2 linked regions of the Xenopus tropicalis genome follow. The protein of the gene in region 2 interacts with the protein of the main gene of each other region in a biochemical or structural test. Links are inferred from orthologs where the notes say so. Each region holds a gene or a part of one and is shown on either strand. Other genes may lie near its edges. The genes, in order: rnf185 and cgas.

Region 1 (4,365 bases), on a different chromosome or scaffold from region 2:
ACAGCATACAAAAACATTATTATAACACACATTTAAAAAGCACCAACATATTCTTTTTACGCACTTTAAAAATACACCTACAGAAAGTTTATAGTAGGGATATGAAAACATCAACTATTTTTGTATTTTTCCACAGGGTTAAAGAGTGTTTATATATATATATATATATATATATATATATATATATATATATAAAAATAATTGTACTAGTTGCCAACTGTAGCCATACAGGCAGGGGAAAGCAACTACGTAGAAAAACAAAAGGCCAGAGAGCTGTGCTTGATATGAACAGATAAACATAAAAGTAACTTAATTATACTAGAAGCATAAACAAATATAATCTACTTAAGAGTATAAAGTGATTACCAAGTGTCTACGCTGACATGAGCAAGTGACTTAACATACCCTCACTCTCAGCAGCGACATGGCTTAAACAATATGGTGACATATCCAGAGATGCTCTAATAATGTTTTAGGGTGAAGACACACAGAGCTACTTAGTAGCGGCTACTTGTCATGGCTGCTAAATGCCAGAAAAATACCCTGCCATAGACAATACTGAAAATTGCCCCTGCTAAAACACACAGAGACAATTATCAGTAAATGATCAGTATTGTCTATTTTTGTAGCTGTGACAAGTAGCTGCTACTAGTAGCTCTGTCTTCACCCTTAGGGCAGTGGCAGATGGGGAGATTAATCGCCCCGCAACAAATCTTCATTACCGCAATGGAAATCGCCGGTGGGATGGCATATGTGTTGCTACGATTTCCCAAAGCCGCCTTTAAAGGAACTTTTGCCAACTTCGGGAAATCGTAGCAACACGTATGCCATCGAAGCTGCAATTTACATTCTTGCCAGTGGGATGGCATTGTGGGGGGATTAGTCGCCTGCGGTAACGAAGATTTGTCGTGGGGCAATGTCTGCCACTTCCCTTAAGGGTGAAGACACATGGGGCTAATAGTAGCAGCTACTTGTTGTGGCTACTAAAAAAAGACAATGCTGATCATTTACTGATCATTGTCTCTATATCTGCTTTAGCAGAGGCAATTCTCGGTATTGTCTATGGCAGGGTATTTTCTGGAGTTTAGTAGCCTTGAAAAAGTAGCTGCTACTAGTCGCCAGGGTTGGACTGGGGGGATGCAGGGCCCCTTGGGTTCCTGCCCCAGGGGCCCTGCAGGTGCCCCCGCCAGCCACGTGCCTCGCACCCCCTAACACCTCCCCCTGCAGAGCCTTCCTAAGCCCCTCACCCGATGTCCTCCCCTGAGTGCGCGGAAGTTTAGCGTGTTGGGAGGAACGGTCAGCCGGGGGAGCGCCGGCAAGGGTCGGGTCTGGGCCGTCGGGGCTCACCCTAAAAGAATGTGCAGGAATATGTTCACAGATCATCAAATTCAAGTGTGCCCTAAACATGGGATAAATGGGAGGATTGTTTATTTTTGTACACAGAGGGTTAAGCACGAAACATCGTCAGATCCGCCACACACAGTCAGGGCTGAAACAGCAGATAAGGAGGTAGAAACAATAGGATTTCTACCTCCTTCTGCCGATTCAGCCCTGACGGCAGATTTTGGTCAGGCGCCTTCTATGGCGCCCGATCAAAATTTTCTAACCTGGCCGATCTGTGAGTCGTCCGATATCAGCAGCTTCCTGCGATATCGGTCGACTCGCCGACATGCCATACACGCATCAAATATCGTACGAAACGAGGTTTCGTACGATAGTATTGGTGCGTGTATGGCCAGCTTTAATGGACCCATGGAAACCAACTCCACAGTACTAAGAAAAAAAAAATGTATATATATATATATATATATATATATATATATATAATTCACAATTGGTCCGCACTCCCTCCTTGTTCACGTGTCTGGTAGTCTCAATGGGTGCTGCATCTGGTTGTTCCATGTATACAATACTCCATGAGTTATGCGCACTCCAGAGTGCGCATAACTCATGGAGTATTGTATATATATATATATATATATATATATATATATAACAGATACAATAAGTTATCCTTTATGTAAAATAAAAATTCATAGTAAAATCCATAAAAAATAAATGGGGTTCCAAGAACAGTAAGAGTTTTCAAGATGCATTTACAGTGAAACCTTAATTTTACATACCCCGATATTTAAAAAAATGTTGTGGCCCGACCGATATGCTTGGCATAATGCATGTCTCTGATTATACATTTGCCTGGTGCAAAGAAAAACGTTAATGCGGGTTCTACTGTATTCATTCATCATTCCCAAAGTGGTGAGTGCAAGCGGTGCTGCAAATAAGAATGAATAAAACCTGTAGTACTTTACACTTGCATAGCAAGCACCATACGTCCAAGTCGGAGACTGCTGCTGTCTAGAGCTTTACTTCAGCAATGGGCTGCACAGAGGCGCACGTCCGCCATCACTGGACCAAATTAGCACCTGACACTGGGTACAAATGCTGTGACAGCACTATGTGTGGCACTCCTACGTTTGGTTAATGAATGTAGAGGAATCACAGCGGATGTTTAGCAAATAAACCAGTCGTTTTATGAGGCTAACACAACACTGACACGTAGGGCAGGTATCTGTGCGTAAAGGTGCTAAATTACTCTGATTCACCATACAATTTATAACCAATCAGGATGTTGGGAACGGCACAGCTGGCGGGGCGCAGACACACACTGAGCGGCACGACTGTAGGTGTTTTTACGTGCCACCAGAACTCGGGATAACTATTATACCATTTGCAAGCAGTCTCCAGCTGAGTTGTTGCTATCGCCAACTAAATGTAAGTCGTCCTACCTCCGGTATCACCGACTGTAGAGCAGTCCAACTAATCTCAGTCACTTCCACCTCTCAAACGTCACATCCTGCTTTTCGAACAGGAAGCGGAATTCACATAGACTTTTCGGCGTGTTAGTCACGTGACCACAAGCAAGATGGCAGCCCCCATAGGAGGCACGCAGGATAGTGACTCTGATAGTAGTAATGAGGATCTCGAACGTTTCCGTGAAGCTGCCTGGGTACCACCAGGTATGGAAATGAAGAGAAGCATGTCATCAATGAGAAGGATATAACATTAATAGGATTAGTGCAGAAATGTGGAGATTGGGGGGTTCTCATCTTCTCTTGCTGCTTTTCAGGCAAAATATTGTTACATTATGCGGCTCTCTTTGGTTCTCCAAGTTGATCTATTACTCTAACATTTTCAGATGTCCAGTGGTCCAGTTTCCCAACTTCCACTAAATAGGAACCAGGATATAAAGGGACTGTAGATGCCAGGAGAATTGCGAATTTGCATTAGAATGTAATGTATTGACCGTATCTTTGTATGTAATACTGGCACGGCAAAACAGCATTATATGTACTAAGAGGCATGGATACTGGCACCAAAAATTAGATTATAAGCAGATGGTAGCAGTGGACATTGGCATCACAGAGTCCATTATGGGGCTTATTTATTATGCTGTGCAAAAAAAGGCAACAAAATCACATCCCCAAAATATTGGGGATGTGTTTCAAAATGGGGCAATGGTTACATTCACTATCCTTAAAGGAGAAGGAAAGGCTAATAAAGAGTTAATCTCAAGCTGCAGGCATACCTTCAGTTGTCTCAATAGTGCCCTTAAGTCTCCCCATACTTCACCTGTTCAGAAGATCAGAAGCCAAACAGGTAAAAAAAACGCTGAGTAGTGTAGAGAAGATTCCCATAATGCCTCGCTCCTTCCCAGACTTGGCGACTTGTTACTGTAGGCGGCGAATGTGCACACAGCAGGAGCGTCTGGTTGCCATGGCGACGCAGTGACGGAGAACTCTGTGACATGCAGGTGCGGGGAGTGGCGGAGGGTTTGTGGCAGGAGTGGGGAGCGGGGGGGAGTTTGTGGCAGGAGTGGGGAGCGGGGGGGGGAGTTTGTGACAGAAGCGGGGATCGGAGGGGGGGCTGGCTTGTGCTTTTCAGCCCATACAGACATGCTGGACAAGATGGCGGCGCTGTTCACTGAAACAAGTATGTAGGTTCTAGTATGTGTATCTCTGTAAATCTTTCATTAGGCAAGCCAGAAATATAGCATTTTACACAGCAATAGTAGTACTATCTAATAGTGTGCTTAATAGGTTTTGACTTTCCTTCTCCTTTAAACAGACCTTTCAGCTTCCTTCTACTCAGTGGTTGCAATACTTGCCGGTACAAAAAAGCCTAGTAATACAAAATAGCAGAAAAGGTATCCAGATATCTCAGAATCTAATAATAGAACAAGTGATGTGCGGATCCTCTAAGGCAGTGCTGTCCAACTGGCGGCCCGCGACCCCCCTCTGTGTGGCCCCCCACCTGTCTGGCTGCTTTGATGGCTTACCTTTGAGTAAGCATTAAATGGTATCAGTA
Region 2 (4,276 bases):
TCTTACATTTGTGTCTTGTAAGTAATAGAGAATAAAATATTTGGGTTCAATGTATTTGCATTTAAGAGTTTTAATTGCCTGACCCACAATTGCACTAGTAAAGTCCAAGACCATTTCACAGAGCATTTACCAGCTGAACTGCCTTCCATTTGTGTATTTTCACATTAAACTGGCTTTCTTCCAGTGTAAATGTCTGGCCTCTTGTACTGTATTCATGTCTGTGTAAATATATTTTTGTTTTCTATTACATTTAATGTGTTCGCAAAGAGGCCAAAGCCAGCATTAATTAATTATTTCTGTCCTTTAGGGTGAAGACACACAGAGCTACTAGAAGCAGCTACTTTTTCATGGCTACTAAGGGTAAAGACACACAGAGCTACTAGAAGCAGCTACTTTTCATGGCTACTAAGGGTAAAGACACACTGAGCTACTAGTTGCAGCTACTTTTTCATGGCTACTAAATTCCAGAAAATAATTTTCCATAGAAAATAATGAGAATTGCCTCTGCTTAAACGCACGTAGAGACAATTATCAGTAAATGATAAGAATTTTTTCTGATCTCTAAACTCAGGGTGCTTTTTTTCTAACGCTGGGATTTCTTGTTAGTCTTTTAACAATGAATTTTTTTAGAGTAGAAAATGACCATACCTAATCTGCTGAGTTTACTCTTGATTAGCTCTCTTAATCGATCTAGCATTTGTTGGCCAGAAATCTTTCCATTTTCAACATAGTTTGTTAAAGGATGCTTTGGATTTCTGTTTATTGTTAGTGTGTAGAAACTGCCACTGGCGTCTGACTCTGAAATGCGAAGTCTTCCACATGGTATTTTCAGCATGATGTCAAATTCGTTTGGCTTTGAGATCTGAAAAATGTAAAGGCACGTGTTGTTAGATTTTGCAAAAATATGCGTAAAACAGTGTTTCTTTTACATTTATATGGTCTGAGCTCTCATTAGCTCCTAACAGGATTAACTTTCAAAAAAATATATATAGACGGGTAAAGGTTTTGCCAACCTTTGGTCCCCTGGGCATAACTTAGTCCGCTAGATTGGGTCCTTAGTGATACAAGGGAAGCTGTTTCAAATAGGGCTACATATACTGTATAAGAAGTCACTCGCAAGTGCAAGAAAAATTGCTATTTATTTATTGTCCAAAGCTACTCATTGCACTTGTGCATAGGCACACTGTTTATTTGAAAATGGTGTGTAAGTGCAACCTTGGAGCTACCACCACACCTCAAAGGTAGCTCTAGGTTCCCACAGAGGCTTGCGTAAATAAACACAGTGCGCCAAGACAAGAGAAATAAAGATATCCTGACAATAAAAAATGTTTTTGCAATTGTGTCCAATTCTTGCCAAAATGCATGTGTACTTATGCACCCCTCACAAATGTGTTGGATATATGTCTGTGGTACAGCCTATTGTAATATTAGTACTTAGTTGTGACAACCTATTCTGCACATGGGAATAATTTAAGCTAGGCTGGTTTTATTGATCTCTCAACTTGCTATCACTTTTCTTTTTCTCGCCACAGTATATCTATTAATTTAAGTTCAATACATAATATATAATATTTTTAAACCATTTGCTATTTCACTTTATCGTTAATTTGTTAATTCATTTGTTCTTGATAGTAGTGGTGTAACAATAAGGGAAACAGGGTTAGCTTCCTTTATTGTTGCATATAAAATTCCGCTTGCTGAGGGCTCTCAGGTAGGAGACTGGGCGGGGAGCAGAGATTTATACACAAGTGGTGGGGGGAGGTTTTGCGGGGGGGCCTCCATAGATTCTTTTTGCGGGGGTTAGAATAGTTACGCCACTGCTTAATAGCACACATATTTTCTCAATAGCAAACATTTCTTTTCTAGTTTTGTCACATTTTTGGAGCACCTGCTGGTTTTTGCTAACTAGAGTTGTCCTACATTATTTACAATTACTTAAAATGCTTTGTATATTCTAGGAGTTATGGGGTTTGTTAAACTATTAATCAGTCTTAATAAAGTCTTATGTATTAGCTAAAAATACATTTTACATTATCAGAAATTTAGCTGTAGTATTGTATTTTGGAACCTAATGTCCAAGTTTACCAAAAGTTCCTTACCTTAACTTTTTCATAGTAGCTTCCAGTGTTCAGTATCTCCATACCTTCGAATGCAGGATCTTTAGATGATTTGATGAATTTATCTAAATCTTTAACCAGTTTTTTCACCTGTTCTGCTGCTTTTGAGATCTCATCCATTTTCAATTTCTGCATCTTAAGTGTACGGTTCAGATGTTTAGTAAGCTTGTCATCATTTTCGCTCCCAGGTTCTGCATTAGCTTTATTCGCCATATTTATAGCTTTTTTACCTTTGATTAAAGGTTCTACATCAGCTTTCTGCAATGCCTTATTTTCTCCATCCGTTGAAAGTTTTCTAACTGTCATCTCAGGTTCTACGTAAGCTTTATCTAATGCCTTATTTCCTTCACCTGTTCTATCCTGCTTATCCAAGGCCCCGTTATTTTGTATACATGTTGCAGCATTTTCAACTGTGCCCACAGGTTTTTTGTCAGCTTTGTCTGATGCCCCATTTCTTTTGATGCCAGCACTAGGTTTTGTAATTGCTTTCACAGGTTTTTGGCTAGCTTCATCTTTTGCCCCATCCATTTCCTTGCCTTCTGTAGCTTTCATGGGTGAGACTGCTGATTCATTGTCTGGTGCCTTCATTTTGCTTTTGCCTTTTGTGTCTTTTAATTTTGTTTTTGCAGTTTCATTCCCAGCCTTGTCTGGTGTCCTATTGCTACTCGTACCTTCTGTAGCTTTTCCGCTTTTGCTCACAGAAGCTTTGCAAGCCTCTCCTTTTGCACTGTTTTTCCTGCTTGCTGTCGAGTTTCCAGTTGTGATCCCAGAGGCTTTACTCTTATTCGGTGCCTCGGTAGTGCAGGAATTTATTTTGCTGCTGGTTTGTCTTTTTATTCCTATGTACTTGGGAGACTTTTCTTCCATTTCTTTCATTTAGAATGGGCAAAACCTGGCGAATTTCAGTTTCCTTTGTGTGCTGATCCCTCCCAGTATGGAACGTCAATATGAAGAAATGAAAGTCTGCCTGGAGCATTTCTACTAAATTAACTATGCAGACTTCCTGTTAATTATGAAAGTTAGATATTCTGTGAAGGGATTACATTTGTGCTGACTGGTTAGTTTGTATGTGCAGTAAAAAAGTGTTAAATAGCTTTCTGCAAGCAGAGCTTGATATGTGGTGTATATTACATTTTCTCTTTTAAAGTAAAGCATGCTGAATATACAAAACTACAGCAGACACTACTGGTTATCTGGTGTATCAAGTGATCTGATACCAAAAATAAGCCTTCACTAAAGTAAACAAAAACTACTACAAAACTACTACAACTACCTATGTATGCTACCAATTACATTGCAATTGTAATCAACTTGCTTTTCAATTCAATAAAAAAGGGATAAGTATTCTTTATTAACTTTATTCAAAATCCTTGTGTTTTTTAACTGTTGGGTTTAATTTTTTTCAAAAGTAATTGTTGTTTTTGGTTCTTATTCACAAAGTTTGGTGAACTATAAGGCTTACAACAGGTTTGCCAGAAGTTACATTCCTTTGTAATTAACCTCAGTTTGAGGTGGGTGGGGTTTGATTAGTTGACCATAACAGACTGTATAAATAGAACCACTGGCACTCCAGTGGAGCTTGCTCTGTTGGTAGGTGCTCTGTAAGTGATTGCTCTTTAAGTGGGGGCTCTATAACTGGAGTTATAAACACAGGAGTTAGTGGGGGCTCTATAAGTGGAGTTATAAACACAGGAGTTTCAAACTAAGGGAGTTTAAAACAAGGTACTAAGTTAGTATTTACTACAAGTCTTTTCACCTATTTTTGTTCCTGTAACTGGGAGAATGAGTGGCAGCAACATTGAAGGGGAGCAACAAATGGATGACAGGGCAGTAAGCTGGGTGACAGTTAGACAATCTAGTGTGGGGAAAAGGAAAAAGGAGGCTGCTCCAGGCTTTGCGCATCCCAACAGATTTGCCAGATTGTGTGAAGAAGATGGGAGTGTGATCTCTGGACTGGCGGTTCTAGATGAGGCTGATCTCTCTAACAGCCGGGAGACTAGTTTCTCTAGTAGTGGTGGGGAGGAGAGCAGAGCTAGGCCTAAACAGATGGTGGTTATAGGTGATTCAATCATTAGGAAATTGGACAGGGTAATCTGTCGAGCGGATCGCTTCAACCGAACAGTTTGCTGTCTTCCTGGTGCCAGGGTTCGGCATGTGGT

Evidence for each region.
Region 1: of the proteins of cgas (region 2) and rnf185, one has a biochemical effect on the other in vitro, tested with the Homo sapiens proteins (2 studies listed by BioGRID). The link is inferred for Xenopus tropicalis from reciprocal best matches to the Homo sapiens genes CGAS and RNF185.

Annotation. Positions count from the first base shown.
Region 1 is NC_030677.2:151,998,630-152,002,994, reverse strand, and holds the start of rnf185 (E3 ubiquitin-protein ligase RNF185), read right to left. Parts: upstream 2,868-4,365; 5' UTR 2,787-2,867; exon of another isoform or gene 2,726-2,786; intron 1-2,725. Other genes in the region: c1h12orf43 (protein CUSTOS), read left to right, coding at 2,924-3,017. UniProt on the Homo sapiens protein: E3 ubiquitin-protein ligase that regulates selective mitochondrial autophagy by mediating 'Lys-63'-linked polyubiquitination of BNIP1.
Region 2 is NC_030681.2:91,837,106-91,841,381, reverse strand, and holds the start of cgas (cyclic GMP-AMP synthase), read right to left. Parts: upstream 3,090-4,276; 5' UTR 2,994-3,089; coding exon 2,100-2,993; intron 863-2,099; coding exon 649-862; intron 1-648. UniProt on the Homo sapiens protein: Nucleotidyltransferase that catalyzes the formation of cyclic GMP-AMP (2',3'-cGAMP) from ATP and GTP and plays a key role in innate immunity.